2 linked regions of the Alligator mississippiensis genome follow. The protein of the gene in region 2 interacts with the protein of the main gene of each other region in a pairwise test. Links are inferred from orthologs where the notes say so. Each region holds a gene or a part of one and is shown on either strand. Other genes may lie near its edges.

The links. The genes of interacting proteins can lie anywhere in the genome.
Region 1: the proteins of MIPOL1 (region 2) and TTC12 interact in binary tests that used the Homo sapiens proteins (3 or more experiments, as listed by UniProt). The two-hybrid records come from large-scale screens. The link is inferred for Alligator mississippiensis from reciprocal best matches to the Homo sapiens genes MIPOL1 and TTC12.

The regions. Positions count from the first base shown.
Region 1 is NC_081839.1:32,582,571-32,590,026, forward strand, and holds the start of TTC12 (tetratricopeptide repeat protein 12), read left to right. Parts: upstream 1-4,377; 5' UTR 4,378-4,425; coding exon 4,426-4,480; intron 4,481-4,578; coding exon 4,579-4,736; intron 4,737-4,795; exon of another isoform or gene 4,796-4,831; coding exon of another isoform or gene 4,832-4,951; intron 4,952-6,391; coding exon 6,392-6,422; intron 6,423-7,386; coding exon 7,387-7,456. UniProt on the Homo sapiens protein: Cytoplasmic protein that plays a role in the proper assembly of dynein arm complexes in motile cilia in both respiratory cells and sperm flagella.
Region 2 is NC_081825.1:258,444,590-258,452,093, reverse strand, and holds the start of MIPOL1 (mirror-image polydactyly gene 1 protein), read right to left. Parts: upstream 3,039-7,504; 5' UTR 2,949-3,038; intron 1-2,948.

The sequences.
Region 1 (7,456 bases), on a different chromosome or scaffold from region 2:
GCGGGAACAGATCCTGTTGCCCTGCTCGTCCTTCCCGGAGCACAGGGCAGCCCTGCTTCCCGCCCAAGCCCTGTGCCCTCTTAGGGCAGACGAAGTACCTTGCTGCGGACGTTTAAGGCCAGACACTGCACGAGGAGGGGGGGTCCATCATGGCCTCCGTTGTCCAGGTGTTGTTCCAGATCGACTCGGAGGTGTGAGAGCCCAGGATGCAACTGGACTACCCCATACGGCCGGCTGTGCTGGTGCAAGCTCTCTACCCAGGTGCTTCTCTTCTGCTCCTGCTGCCCCAGCCTGCTCCATTCTCCAAGGCACGGTGTCCCCGTCCCCCGCACTAGATGCACACCCACAGACCTTTTGCGGTTATGAATCTTCAAGCCAAGACGAGCAAAGAGACCAGACAGGACCTGCAGGTTGGAGAGGTATTCGGGATATGATATTTGGATGTGCAATGCAATAAGCAGTAAGCAGAAGGCACTGTGGATTGGGTCTGCAATGCAGTCCATGTCCCAAGAACGTGGCAGATAAAGCCTGGATTTTCTCCTTAGAGACTATTTATACTTGCCTGTGTATTTGAGGAGAAAGGAGCATGTGGCACAGGTCTTAAAGAGGGTGAGCAAGCGGTGTGCTAGCCGCAGTGGCGCTCTCGGGTCGGTAGAGAGCAGCCTTAGCCCATCTCCACAGCTGCAGCATCCCGGGAAGGACGGATGCGACTTGGCTTCGTGCTTAACGGGGAAGCGGGTGATCAGAGCTGATGGGCTCAGGTCTGCCGGAGGCTGGTGTTAATGCTGATGTCTGGCCCAGGCCAAGGGCTCAGCTGTCCCTGCAACAGAGCCGGCTCCTCCTGTGTCTCCCCCAGGAGACCCCCTTTCCAGACTGTGGGGCGATGTGCCCCAGTGACAGACATCAAACCGGGCCTTGGGGGACCTGGGGCTGTATTCCCGTCTCTGTCGTTGCCCTGTGGTCAGATCTTGGCCAATGCTCCTCCATCGCTGTGCCTCAGTTTCTCTTGCCACCCTTTGCTGGTGTCAGTTGTAAGGTCCAGGCGCTGAAATCATGCAGCCTTCCTCTTGCCCAGCTAAAGGAGATGGCTCCTTGCCCTTTCACGTGCAGCAAGGGAGACCTGGAGTAGATGCTGGGGAAAGTTTTTTTCCAGCCAGGGGGTTAAGCACTGAACCAGGCGGTTGAGGAATCCTGGCTGGAGGCTTTTAGGAAGACCGAGGTGGTGTCGTATGTGAGGGGAGCTAAAAAGCAGGGGAAACCCAGCGTGGACCACACTGCAGCACTCGGGGGAAGTCTTGCAAGGGAAAGGAGCAGTCTTGTGAGTCTGGGGGCTTGGCTACAGTCTGCTCTGCAACAGCAAGCAGAAAGAGCTCTGCCTTCCCCGAGACGCGTCCTTGGAAGAGGCAGGCAGCGGGGGCCCTCCTGCAGGACCCCTGTCTTCTGCTGAGACCAAGCAAAGCCACCACGGGGTTTCTCCTGAAAACGACTGCTGCTTTCCCCGCTGCTGGGCTGAGATTAGCCATACGGTAACGGGGGCTTGGTGCTTGTGGGGTTTGCTCTGAGAACAGGCTTTGCAGCAGCGTTGTGCATCCCAAACCTGAGCTCCAGGGCTGGTGTTTTGTTCTTGGGAAGCTTTGGGGCACCATGAGAAGCATCTGTAGCTGGATGCTGTCGCCTGTCTTTCCAGGATGGGCGGTCACGTCAGCTCCCCTCTGGCCAGGAGCCTTGGGATCATGCGTAACAAAAGCTTTGTTCTCACCAGGCCTGGTGCTGGCACTCAGACCCCATTAAAATGGGACTAAGCGATATGGACTGGTGGTACTAGAGGAAGACAGAAGAGGATGACAGGAAAGAAACGGCAGGCCTCTTCTGGTGGAGGGGGTCTTGCATAGACTTTTTCAGGAGCAGGTCTTTTGAGGAGGGCAGCAGGTAAGGGTACGGGTATGGAGATGGGTGCACGGATATGTGGTGTGAACTATGGAGCAGGTTTTTAGTGTGCTTTGAGCTGCCAAGTGAACCACAGGGGCCACTGGGTAGTGTTGGAGATGGAGTTTTATCCCTATCCCTATCTATTGATATCGATCGATATCAATATCGATCGATATCGATAGATAGATATCAATAGATAGATATTTATATATACAGAAATAAATATTTTTTGCAAAAAAAGAAAAGAAAAACTAGGTCTGGTGCTGGCCAGTTCCTTTCCATAATACATGTGGCACCAACCCCATGCCCAGTGCTCTGATTTCAGCACATATTTTGCTGCTGACGGCAAATGAAGCTCTCTGGAGGGCTGATTCTCCTCCACACGCGTGATGCTGGCATGCAGTGCGCAGGGAGCATGGCATGTTTTCACATTCAGGGGATGAAGAATAGTTAGTGCCTGGGAGCTCAGGCAGGGCTGTTTCTGCAGGCAATGGTTGATGTCTGGGCACATTCCCGGGTACATCAGGGGACATTGCCATGTTCTGTTTCTGTACAGCCGAGGAGGCTTCTCACCCTGCTTGCAGAGAGGATGCTGATCTCAGGAGGATGGACCGCCCAGGACTCGGAGGAAAGGGATGCTGCCAGTGTTGGATGAAGATCGGCACTGCAGGGAGTCGGAGATGGTGACAGGTGCAGGGGCAGACCCGGCGGGTGCAGGACGTGAGTGACTGGAACGTGGTACAACTGGGGACAGCAGAGCAGACGCAGGTTTGATCTGGCCTCTGTATTCGCTGCAGTGGGGTTGCACGACAAAACCAGGACGAAAGCAATCCGGGAGACTCCCCTTCTGCATGGGGCTGAAGTCTTCTAAGCACCTGCCGAGGGCAGACGGCCGTAGCTACCTCGTAGCAGGGGTGATGGTCACCCAGATGGGCTGGGCCAACTCAGCTGGAGGCCCTCCTACTGGTGCCGGTTAGCAGAGAGAGAGAACCAGTCCACAGCACAGACAGCCGTTGCACCATCCCGGCTCTCCTGGGGACGGCAGACCATGCCATGACCCACCGTCCCACCCGCCTGGACTGTGGGACCGCTCTGGGGGCCCAGAAGGAAAGCTGTTTGGGCTGCGCGCAGCGTAGTGGGCACTAGATGGATGGCGTGTGTGGCAGGAGGGGAGAGAAATCCCAGGGCACAAGGGAAGGTGGTATTATGCGGAGCTGCTGAATTACTGAAAATTCAAATTTTTGCTGAGTCGGCCCCATTTATCACTGCAGCGTGTGGATAAGAATACAGGCCCACAGGAAGCGTTTGGGAAGCCAGGCGTGCAAATTCTGCAGAGTCCGCCCCCGCCTCTGCCGCTCACGTATTGCAGCCAAAGTCACTTGACCATAATGAGCTCTCTCTGTCAAAGCAGAAGTTTTTGGAAGTGATTTCCCCCCACCCTTTATTTTTTTTGTGTGTGACAAAAGTAGTAAATCAGGATGAAACTCATCATTGCCCTGTGCTAGGCATCAATTACTGCTCCATGCAAGCAAATGAAGCCATCACCTCCAAGCCCACTGAAGCGTGGGGCTCGCATGGTTTTGCCGCTCGTCTGGCGGAGACAGACATTCGTCTGGGCCGAGATCTCTAGGAGGCGGTTGGACGCCGCTTTCACGCTAGAACAGCTAATCCTGTGTTTGCCTGCAATCAGCGCACTTCCAGTCCGATACAAACCTTTCTGCTTCGGAAATAATAATACACTGGACATTTTTCTGCAGCGCTTTCTGCCCCAGGAGGTCCCCGAACGCCTGCTCGGTTCACGAGCAGAGCGTGCGTTGCACCAACAGGCACCTGCCTGTCGCTGAAGGCCGTGGGGAGAGGAGAAGGTTAGACTAAAATATTGGGGCAATCTGTGTTGCAGGAAATAGCAGGCGGTCTCTTTTAGTATCCAACAGAGATGCCCTGGAAGACCGGCCGGACCCCCTGGGCCGGTACTCTGTGATTTAAATGAAACACCACTGCTCTATCTATGAATATGTGTCTCTCTATATAGTATAGATCTAGAGCTACTGTATGCAGAGTAGATACATAGAGTAGATGTTGAGTTACAGAGCTGCTGAATTACTGAAAATTCAAATTTTTGCTGAGTTGGCCCCACTGTATGTAGATCTAGATCTCTAATCTCGATATAGCTCTGCATATATTAGATCTATAGATGTCCACACACACGTGTCTATACACACAGACACGTGCGCGCGCACACACACGTGCGTCCACGCTCTACTCCTGTTGTTGCCCCCGAAGCGCCCCGCGCCGCTCCGGATTGGCTGGCCGCAGCCTCGCCCTGCGTTCCCATTGGCTGATCCCGTGACCTCCGCGCCTTCCGCCCTTCCTGCCCCGTCCGCTCAGAGCCCCGCCCCTGCTGGGCCGCTATTGGCCGCGGGGTCGGACGGTGGCCGGGCGGGGCGTTGCGGCGTCGGTTGCCGTGGCGACCGCGGGACTCGGCGCGGCCCGGCCATGAGGCGCGAGGAGCGGGACGTCCAGCGCTTCCTGCGCCGCGTGGATGACGTCAGTAAGCACCCCCGGGCCCGATCCTGCGCCCCCCCCGGTGCCCCCCGGTGCGCCCCGCTCCCGCTGCAGCCGGCGCCTTGTTCTCTTTGCCGTTTGCAGCCCGTCTGGTTCAAGGCTTGAGCTCGGCGGACCCGGCCGCCCGCCACAAGGCCCTGGCCGAGTCGGAGGCGCGCCTGCAAGCCGGCGGGGTGGGGGACGCGGAGGAGGAGGAGTGCGTCACGCGGTGGGACCGCACACGCATCAGCTCCCCCCGTGAGGTCAGAAGGGGAAGGGGTGAGGGGGGTGCATGTCTTGTCCTGCACGGCTGCGTCCCCTGGGCGCGCTCTGGGCCCGGGGAAGTTTGCTTCTGGCGATGAGGTCGGCGAGGCGCGACCCCGGTGTGCTCCTCAGTGCAAAGTCACGGGTATCGGAGGGCTTGGCTGTATATCACAGCTTTGTCGGCGTGTTTCGGGGGACTGCTGGTTCTGTGCACGTACGTACGGTGGTCCGTGGGTTTCTTGTATAACCTGGTCTGCATTTTACCCTTCTGGATACTCATCACCGCGTCTAACAAGGAGGCGTTGGCGTACTCTAGACACGGTCGGACGGAGGGTGGCGACTGTTGAATTTCCGATGGACCTCGATCGGAGATTGCAAGCTTTCGGTCCAAACGATGAAGGTGTCATCCATGTATCTTCGGTGTAGCAAGGGGCCGATGGGGCCGTGCTTGAGGAAGTCGTCTTCCAGGTGGCTCGTAAACCGGTTGGCGTACTGCGGGGCCGTTGCAGTGCCCGTAGCTGTTCCCGTCGTTATAACGCAAACGTTATCATTAATAACCATCCATATTTCGTGGCAATTCAACAGTTAAAGGGCGTGTTTGGATTATAGTAAGCGATTATAAGGCAAACGTTATAATTAATAAACAATATTTCGTGGCACTTCAACAATTAAAAGTGTTTGGATTATAGTAAGCAATTATAAGGCAAACATTATAATTAATAATCACCAATATTTCGTGGCACTTCAACAGTTAAAAGGCGTGTTTGGATTACAGTAAGCAATTATAAAGCAAACGTTATAATTAATAACCATCGATATTTCGTGGCAGTTCAACAGTTAAAGGGCGTGTTTGGATTATAGTAAGCGATTATAACACAAACGTTATAATTAATAACCATTGATATTTCGTGGCACTTCAACAGTTAAAAGGCATGTTTGGATTATAGTAAGCGATTATAACAGAAACGTTATAATTAATAACCAATATTTCATGGCACTTCAACAATTAAAAGTGTTTGGATTATAGTAAGCAATTATAAGGCAAACGTTATAATTAATAATCACCAATATTTCGTGGCAGTTCAACAGTTAAAGGGCGTGTTTGGATTATAGTAAGCGATTATAACACAAACGTTATCATTAATAACCAATATTTCGTGGCACTTCAACAGTTAAAAGGCGTGTTTGGATTATAGTAAGCAATTATAAGGCAAACATTATAATTAATAACCATCGATATTTCGTGGCACTTCAGCAGTTAAAGGGCGTGTTTGATTGTGCCGCCTGCCCGAGTTCTTCGTGGCCGCCGTGGAAAGCGGCAGGCTGCAGCCGGACGTGGGGCATGCGACGAGTCTGGCAGAAACTCGTAGCCAAATTGATTTTTTGAAAGAGGCAGCCTGAGCATTGACTTGTTTGTTTTCTCTGTTTCTGTGGTTTTAAATGTTCCTGATGGGATGAGTTCTGACAGGTTTAAAAACGCTGCTCATGCTTTGAGAGACACGTTGTTACAGAACTGCGTTTTGAGTTACTTTCAGAAATACGCGTGATGCACACACCTGTACTTCAGAGAAACGTGGTTTCTTTCCAGTTCAAAACTTCCTTTGTTTTGTGCGTGTGTTTGGGTGCGATTGTCACGCGTTCCTTTTTTTTTCAGGACACCCACAATGTGAAGACAGAAAACCCAGGTAGGATGGCATTCTCCTCTTCAGTCATTAACCCGCTATGAGTTTTTTGTATGGAGAAAACTCATTGCTGCTATCTCATGCCAGGCCCGGTCCTACTCCCACAAAAGTCAGTAGGAATTTTTTTACTTAATGGGGGCTGGATCAAACCTGCAATTGCTTATATTAAAGAGTCCTATACGCTTGGCTGCATTATGCATAGCAAGGAAGTTTTTCTAGGTGTTCCCCAGCTCTCACCAAAGAGCTTCATTATTCTGAATTAAAAAACAGGCCCATCTCCTAGAGATGAGCTACTTAAAAAGCCAGGTATGCAAATCCTGAGCAGTATTACAGCCTTTATGTGTAATAGCCACCCACATGGTCAGGGGCAGCCAGGCAGGCCCTACGAGGAGAGGCTACAGGACCTGAACCTGTTCAGCCTCCACAAGAGAAGGCTGAGGGGGGATCTGGTGGCAGTCTACAGACTAGTCAGGGGGGACCAGCAGGCACTGGGGGAGTCCCTGTTCCCCCGAGCACTACCAGGAGTGACTAGTAACAACGGACACAAGCTGGCAGAGAGTAGTTTCAGGCTAGACATCAGGAGGCGCTGCTTCACTGTCAAGGCGGCTAGGACCTGGAACCAACTTCCAAGAGAAGTGGTGCTGGCTCCTACCTGGGGGTCTTTAAAAGGAGGCTGGACGAACATCTGGCCGGGGTCATTTGACCCTAGTACTCTTTCCTGCCCATGGCAGGGGGTCAGACTAGATGATCTCCTCAGGTCCCTTCTGACCTGACCAACTATGAACTATGAAACCTATGTTCCATTTAATATCAGAGTAATGAAATGTCCCCTTAAGATTTTCTTCATGGAGAAATTGTAGCTCAGAAGTGACTTTTATCTCATCATTGGTTTGCTTTTTTAATGAGGAAATCTCTCTCTCTTTTTTATTTTTTAACTGAAATACCATCCTAACTTCCCTGCTCAAAGGTGATTTTTTGGCAGCCCTGGAGGAGGATGCACAAGAGCGAGCCAGAAGAAGGAAGAAAAACGAAGGCTT
Region 2 (7,504 bases):
AATTTTAAAATAAAATTGTGTTGTATGAATTAAGTGTGTAATCATTGTGAAATCGTGCAATCAACTAACTACTCCCCCAGCCAGCGCATCAAACGAATCAGTAAGTTGTGTGGGATTTTCTCTATTCCATAACCCACTATAGACAATTTGGTGCAGCATGTGTAAAAGTTTCATCAGCAGGGAGGTAATAATTCTTTTCTGGTGAAATATTAAATGTTCTTTTTCACATGTAATTCCATTCTGAGCACTGAGTTCTAGAAAGGTATTTTAAAAACCCTACACACATCTGCACACCTGGAGATAATTCAAGCAAAAATAACAACAACAAAAAATAAGAAACTGGAGTTACAGATTTATGAAACCTCAGAATGTTACAAGATCACATCCTATGTAGGTTCATGAAAACTTTTAGCAAATACATCAAGGATGTAAACAACAAGAATGGAAAGGAATAATTTAGAGAGATACTATCATAACTTGAAGTAACAGGAGTTTAAATTTAGAAGATGAATATTTCTGATTTTGAGATCTACTAGCTTGATCGTACTTAGAACTAGACTAGAAAAGCAACTAGAAAAAAAAATAAAAGTGATCAGTCCTATGTTAAGCAAGGGATGGGCTGGCTATCTTGCTACTGCAAGCCTTTCCCTCCCTTAAACTCTATGAGCTCCTATACACGTGCAGGGAGCCTGCTCCAACATGCTGTAACTCCAGTGCATCGGTGCAGATTGGATTAATTGAGTCTGCTGGAGCAGGGACATTAATGCACTCTAGCAGTGTCACGTGCATCAGCATCCCCATACTGAAACATGGCAGCTGGGCACTTTGAACTAAAGCTTATTCAACAAGCTTTAGTTCAAAGAGCCTCACTGCTATTTTTCAGCACAGGGAAATTGATACGGGTGATGCTCTGGGTGCTTTTTAAAGCACCCCCATGCCTCCTGGAGCACATGCATCAATGCCCTATGTATCTCATTATATTTGAATCCCTCCCTCTTGGCTTTCTATTTAACAACTGTCATTGCAACAGCTTCTCTTCAGCCACAGGGGAGGATGCAAATCTTCGTAATATGAGATTGGGATCAATTCTGGGCCCTGTACCAGCTAGTAACAGGCATCAGAGGTGATAATTATCTTCCCTGAGCCTAAAATCATGCCACCTTTGCTATACAGCAAGACCTTGATAATTTGCATTAACAACCAGGAGACAATTGTAAATAAATTAAATATTGTAAATTAATATGTAAAAGCAAGACTACATTACTCAACAAATAACTTTCATTTGACAGTTTTGGCTTAGTTTTAATTACCTTAAAATTCATGAACTAGTTACAAATAACTACTTTGGTAGAGTTTATAAGTAACCGATGTTGTAACCTACGGCCATTCTATAGCCCTCTGCTATTAATTCTATACTGGAAAGTGTGGAGAAATAGCGGTCGCAACAATTTTTCACAATAAGGATCAGCAGGCTTCTGCTGCACCTTATCTCCACTAATTCCCATGTCCCCAGGCCCAGATCCCAAAGTCAGTACAGATCTGGATGACTAGGGTAGAAACACTTTAATAGTCTTCTGGAATTGCAATGGTTCTAAAAGAAACCCTCAGCATACATGCCCCTTTTACTTTCCCCTCTTCCCCACATTGATAAGACATTGCCCCAAAACCTCAGCCCATAGCAGATTGATTGAGTTTCAATTTGTTTTAGGAACATTACCTAATGAATTCACATGGGTGTGAGAAAGTAGATAAGAAAGCATTTCTCCTATTACACAGATTGGGAAACTCAAATAATAATATTAGCTGCTTGAATCAATACACCATTTTAAAATCTGAACTTTTTAAGAGAATGAAGAAAACTGTTTTTATGTGGTTAACTGTTCTTTGTGTCATGGAGTACCACCAATACACTACTCCAAAGAATTCATTACTGACCTTCCCAACTCATGAGTTTATAGGGTAAAGGCCTTCTTTCATTGTCCACAGTAATTCAACAAATCCAGTTCCTACCCTCTGAAACAGCTCACCAATCTTTTCCACACCACAGCTATTACTATCCTTATACAAAATATTTTTCCTAGTACCATTACTTCTTAATGTCTTTCTTGATTTTTATAGCAAGTGTGGTGACTTGAGCACTGTATAAAGACCCCTGTGGAAGGAAGCCTTCTATTCCCAGGGCAACTAATGACAGTGCAAGAATCCTTATGCTCCCCTGCCATTGTGCTTCACAGGAGGCTAGGACTGAGCATCTTCAGAGCAGTGAATAATTTGGTTGCTACAAGCCAAAGCCTCTAACTCAACGGATCCCAAACTGTGGGCTGCCGGGTTTAACTTATGGGAGAGCCCGGGAGAAGGCCTGAGCCCCCTGCCCCCCATAAGAGACAAGAGCCCCCCTGTAAGATTTGAAAATCATAACCTGAGGGGGTCTCAGATTTTATTAAGGCATTGTGATGGGCAGCTCCATTTTTTTTGCAGACTCAAAGTGCATTTTGAACCCTGGGGGACTCCAGCCCCAAATGGGGTCACAACATCAGCAGATGGGGCAGCAGGGCTGGGGGGCCATGGGTTGGGAGTGGGGGCCATGCTGAGGAAAAGTTTGGGAACCACTGCTCTAGCTGCTGTGCTGGCACTTCACAGCTGCAGCCTTTCCTTCTGATATGCGTATTAAGAAACTGAGGGAGACCATCAGTACTTACAGGCCTTAATTCTCTTAACTGGGGGTGGGTGGGAGTAACTTGTAGGCAAGGCACCGCAAGCTGCAAAGTGGTCTTGTATAACAGGTGCCTTTACTGAGCGCAGGGCACGAGCAGAAGTTCCCTGTTGCCCGGTGCCCACACCCGTCCCATGGGCACAGCGGGTGAGCGAGCCCTTCCTGCAGCTCCTGAGAGCAAGTGCCATCAGAGGGCGAGCCCCCCTCCCCGCCAGCTGCCCGGCGAGCCCGTTACCTGCGTCCTCCTCCCGCGGCTCGTGCCAGGCGCCCCGAGGGAGACGCTGCTCCGCGTGTGCAAGCAGCCCTGGGCGCCCGCAGGCTCGGGCAGCGGCAGGCCGAGGAGGGCGCGACGCAGCCCGCCAGGGCACGCAAGGACGAGCAGGAGCAGGAGCAGGAAAGGAGGGCCCAGGCCGAGCGAGGAGGCGGAGCTGGAGCTGCAGCGGCCGGCCAGGAATCCGGTCAGCTGGTCGCGCCTGCTGGGGAGCCGGGAAGCAGTTGGGGCTAGTCTGTCGCTCGCCCGGGGGCGGGAGGCAGAGCCGTGGTACTCCTTGGAGATGGATCCGGGGAAGGAGCTGGAGCTGGAGCTGGCGGGCTTTGCATCTCCCTGGGAGCGGGAGGGCCAAGCGCCTGCGAGGTGTTTTGAGGCACTTGGTGAGAAGGTTACGGGCGCGGAGATCGTAGGAAGTCTGCGGCGTCGCGCTTGGAAGGCGCGGATCTCTGCCGCGCGCCGGGGCTGGAAAATGAGGGGGAAATATTCACTGATCGTTTACTGAACAGCTCCGGGGGGGTCAGCAAGTAAACCATTTGCGGATCCTTCCTGCTGTTATAGAGGCTGGTTTTGTGTCCCAGAGGTGTAGGCGATGCGGTGCTGGGGGAGGAGAGGGGTCGGGTAAAATGCCTTTGGTTTTCAGTGCTTTGGGGACAGTGCCCGGTGGCAGCAGAGGCTGTTTGGCGGGGGAGGCACGGGGGGACTCGCGGGGTATGTAGCCAGTGGGAAAAGGTTTGTAAATTGACTCCCTGCAGGGCTGTGTAATCAATCGTCTTCCAGGCCTCTGACACTTGCTGGGAATAATTTGGATGTGTCTGTTTCACTGCTGAAGTTTTGTCTTTAATGATGCTGTGTTTGTGTTTCTAATAACAGACGTCTCTCCGTGTAACTCCCTGCACTTTGCCTGCTGCTTTATTTTAAATGTTTTAATGATTCTGTCCACGTGGCGCAGCCTCACTGCACAAATGCCCTTTTTGCTGTTGTGGCACCCACTGAGGAATACAAGATCTGATCCGTGACAGGGCCTTCATCTGATGAAGTGCTACAATGAGTCCATCCTGATCCCATGTCTGTTATCCGTATCAAAGTGAACAGTACAGAACATACTCTCTATTCCTAGAACAAAATTAAGAGATGCTCTGGTAGCTTTTTTTTTTCAACAAGCCACTGGGGTATTTATTGAGCAGTGTTGTCCCTGAGCAAAAACAAGGGAATAAATGCAAATGTTAACAAAACATTAATGCTGAGATGTTAATTATGTGAAGGTCAGCACGTTCAAATTTTATTATTTTAGAGGAGCTATTCTATATTCCTGCCACAATCATTACTCCACTTTTATAACATGAATAAGTTCAAGTTACTATTTGTTTTCTGATAAGTACAAGGGAATCAAGTTACATTTGCAGCAGGAACACGTTTGAATTTCCATATTTTTGTGCAATTTAAATCTCAATCTTTACCACTGTGTTAGCATCTTTTGCATGATTCTCTACATGTTTGCATATTGTCTCATTACAATTAAAGGTCTGACAGAGGTTTATTCTAAGCAGTTAAAAGCTACAGTTTCTTTTGTCCATAAAATATCTCTTCAGTCAACATAACTTGTTGATGAAATAGTATAAGATGGAAGGTTTAGCAAAACAATTTATTGGAACTAAACCATAGCTCAATGAATTATCCCTTAAACAACAACATTTTATTGGGTTTTGGCTTCTGATATACCAAATTCTCATTTTTGTAACAGCAAAATACATCTGGAGAGGTTTGACAAATCATTCTCAGAAAGGCCAAAGTGTGCTTTGGCACAACTTCATCCGCTTCAAAATGCCTCTTATCTTCAAATGTTCTTCTGTTTGTAAAGGATAAGTCCCTCTGGCACAGAAACGGGCTGGGAGAGTAAGATTAGACAAATTGTGTTTCTGATGTCCTTTCTGTGGTGGCTTGCTTCCCCTTCTTGGGCCCCTTGGTAGTCTAACACTCACCTCTTAATTCCTTTCATACCTTCACCAGTGATACAAAATCTTTCTCCTTTGCAACTTTTTGTTGCTACCTCAAACAGCTTTCCTTCATGTGTGTTGTATTTCACCGTTACTGTGGCATTTTATTCTTACCTGAAAATATATTTTACCTTGCCCTTACATTTATTTTTCCACAGTTATTGATTAAACTTTGTGATTAAACATTAATTCTGTGAAACATTTCTGGAATATACAAAATTAAGCTGTACTGTAATCTCAGTTACTTCCATAGCATCCATTACCATAGTTTCTGACCGCCTCACAATCTTCAGTCTATTTATCCTAACAGTTCCCCTATGACACAGAAAAGTATAATAATTAGAAGAGTGAAATTTCACTTTATATAGATTCTATCCCTGAAGAGATTATTCAGAAAAATAAGGAGAAGAAAATTTGTGTTGATTCTCTCTCCTCCACCCCCACAATTTACTAGAGTTCGTTTACCTCCTAATTTGCATCATTATTATTAATAGGGAACCCTGTCAACAGTGAACAGCAAACAGTAGTTTGCCTGCAGTTGCTGTGTCTAATTTGTGGTCACTGTGTTTAACTAGAGCCTCTTTTGTAGTGACTGTCTGACTGGGTATGTATTTGCAAATTTGCATGGTCTGCTTTGTTTCAGGTGGGCCTTGTCTAGTTAATTGAGGTATGAACCAGGCAGGCTCAGGCCTGGCAGTCTTATAAAAGACAGCTTTTCCAGCAGACTGAGCAGTGAACTGAGGGAGCTTGTTTGAGGAAGAAGGGCTGAGCCCAGGAGAAGTGAAAAGTTCTAAAGCACAGTCTAAGCATTTTCCACAGCAGTTGTTACCTATTTGGCAGGGCTTTTCAACCTCTTTTAATAAGTGTACCCCCGGCAGCTGGACACAGAGCAGGGAGGGGGTGTGACGCATGGCCAAACACAGAGTGGCAGCAGTGCAGGATGGTGGTGGTGGCGGCAGCCGCTATGTGCAAGCTTCCCCCTCCACCTATTCTGTGTCTGGCCAGCCGGGTGGCGCCTATGCAGCCCACAGAGGGGCACCGTTGCCCTTGCCCGGCCCCAGCCCTGCTCCTGGGAGGCAGCGGCATTGGGTGGTGGCACTCCATCCCCACCTGCCCACACATACCCCCTAGGGGCTTCCCAAGCACTCCCAGGGGTATGCGTACCCCTGATTGACAACCCCTGCTATATGGGATGTGCTATGTTTGTGTTCCTCCTAGAGGGTCAAAGTGACTTCCTGTGCACCAAATGCCAGCTGGTGTCCACCATGGAGGAAAAGGTTGAAGGGTGGGAAGTACAAGTATCAATGTTATGCAGTTTCAGAGAGAAAAACTTCCTTGATAAGTCATGAGAAAACTTGAGAGACAATGATCATCACATGACAGAATTCATGACTCTAAGGCAGGGGTGGGCTGCTTAATGAGTTTGGGCAAGCTGTCAAGGGCTACAAGGGTAGCCCCTTGGCAGGTGCCCTGCCCCCTAGTCACCATCTTGGGACTGGAAGTCCTACCCCTGACCTTTGCCACTGGAAGTTGCTCCCCTTATTCCTGAAAGTACTCCTTTTGGGAGTAGGGAGCACTGCCATCTTGGAACCAGAAAAAAAATGAATCATATACAAAAAGTAGGGTGACCACCTTTTTTAAATGTAAAGGTGGGAAACATGCCTGCCTCCCACCCCCCACTGGTGGTGCAGCTGGAGCCAAGCCGAACAGGGCAGAGGTGGATGTGGGCTGCCCGCTGCAGGCTCAGGACTCCCCACCCTGCTGCCTTTCTCCTAGGAGTCCCTTGTTGGCTGTGTCCCTCCTGTGCCTCCCTGCCTCCCCTGCAGCAGTGGGCGCCAAAACTCCACACTGCCAATGCCTCCAGTGCTGCCAGGTGGGCAAGCAGCACATCACCATGGCTATGCACAGCCCCTGGGCACAGGCTTCATGCTCCTGCCAGCCCCATGCTCCCTGCCCCATTCAGCTGCATCTTCCCCCTGCTCCTGCTGCAGCTTTTCCTCCTCCTGCTCCCCTACTTGCTGCCTGGAAGAACCACTGGATGCCAGGGAAGCTGAGCAGGACCCCAGTGGCTGCAGCAGGGGCAGAAGCAGCCCTGCCCAGAAGTGCTGGCCAGGCCGGGGCCCTTCCTTACACAAGGGTGGGAGTGAGGTGAATGGGCTGGGCAGGGAATAATTAATTGGAGGATGCCTGTGGGCTGGATGGAATCACCATATATTGCTTGCCCTCGCTCTAAGGGGAAATATAAGATCAGCAGGATACCAGATCTCCAGAAGGCTGATTTCAACCAACTCAAGGAGATAGTAGGTTAGATCCCGTAGGAGGACAATATGAATGATAAAAGGGTCTAGGAGGGCTGACAATTTCTAAAGGGCATAGTATTAGAAGCTTAACAAGAAGCTATTGCTATGCAATGGCAGGAAGGATGGCAGGAGATTGATGTGGCTGCACAAGGAGCTTCTTGGATGCCTCAAAATCAAAATGTACAGATAATGGAAGGAAGGGCAAGTCACTAAAGGCACCTATACA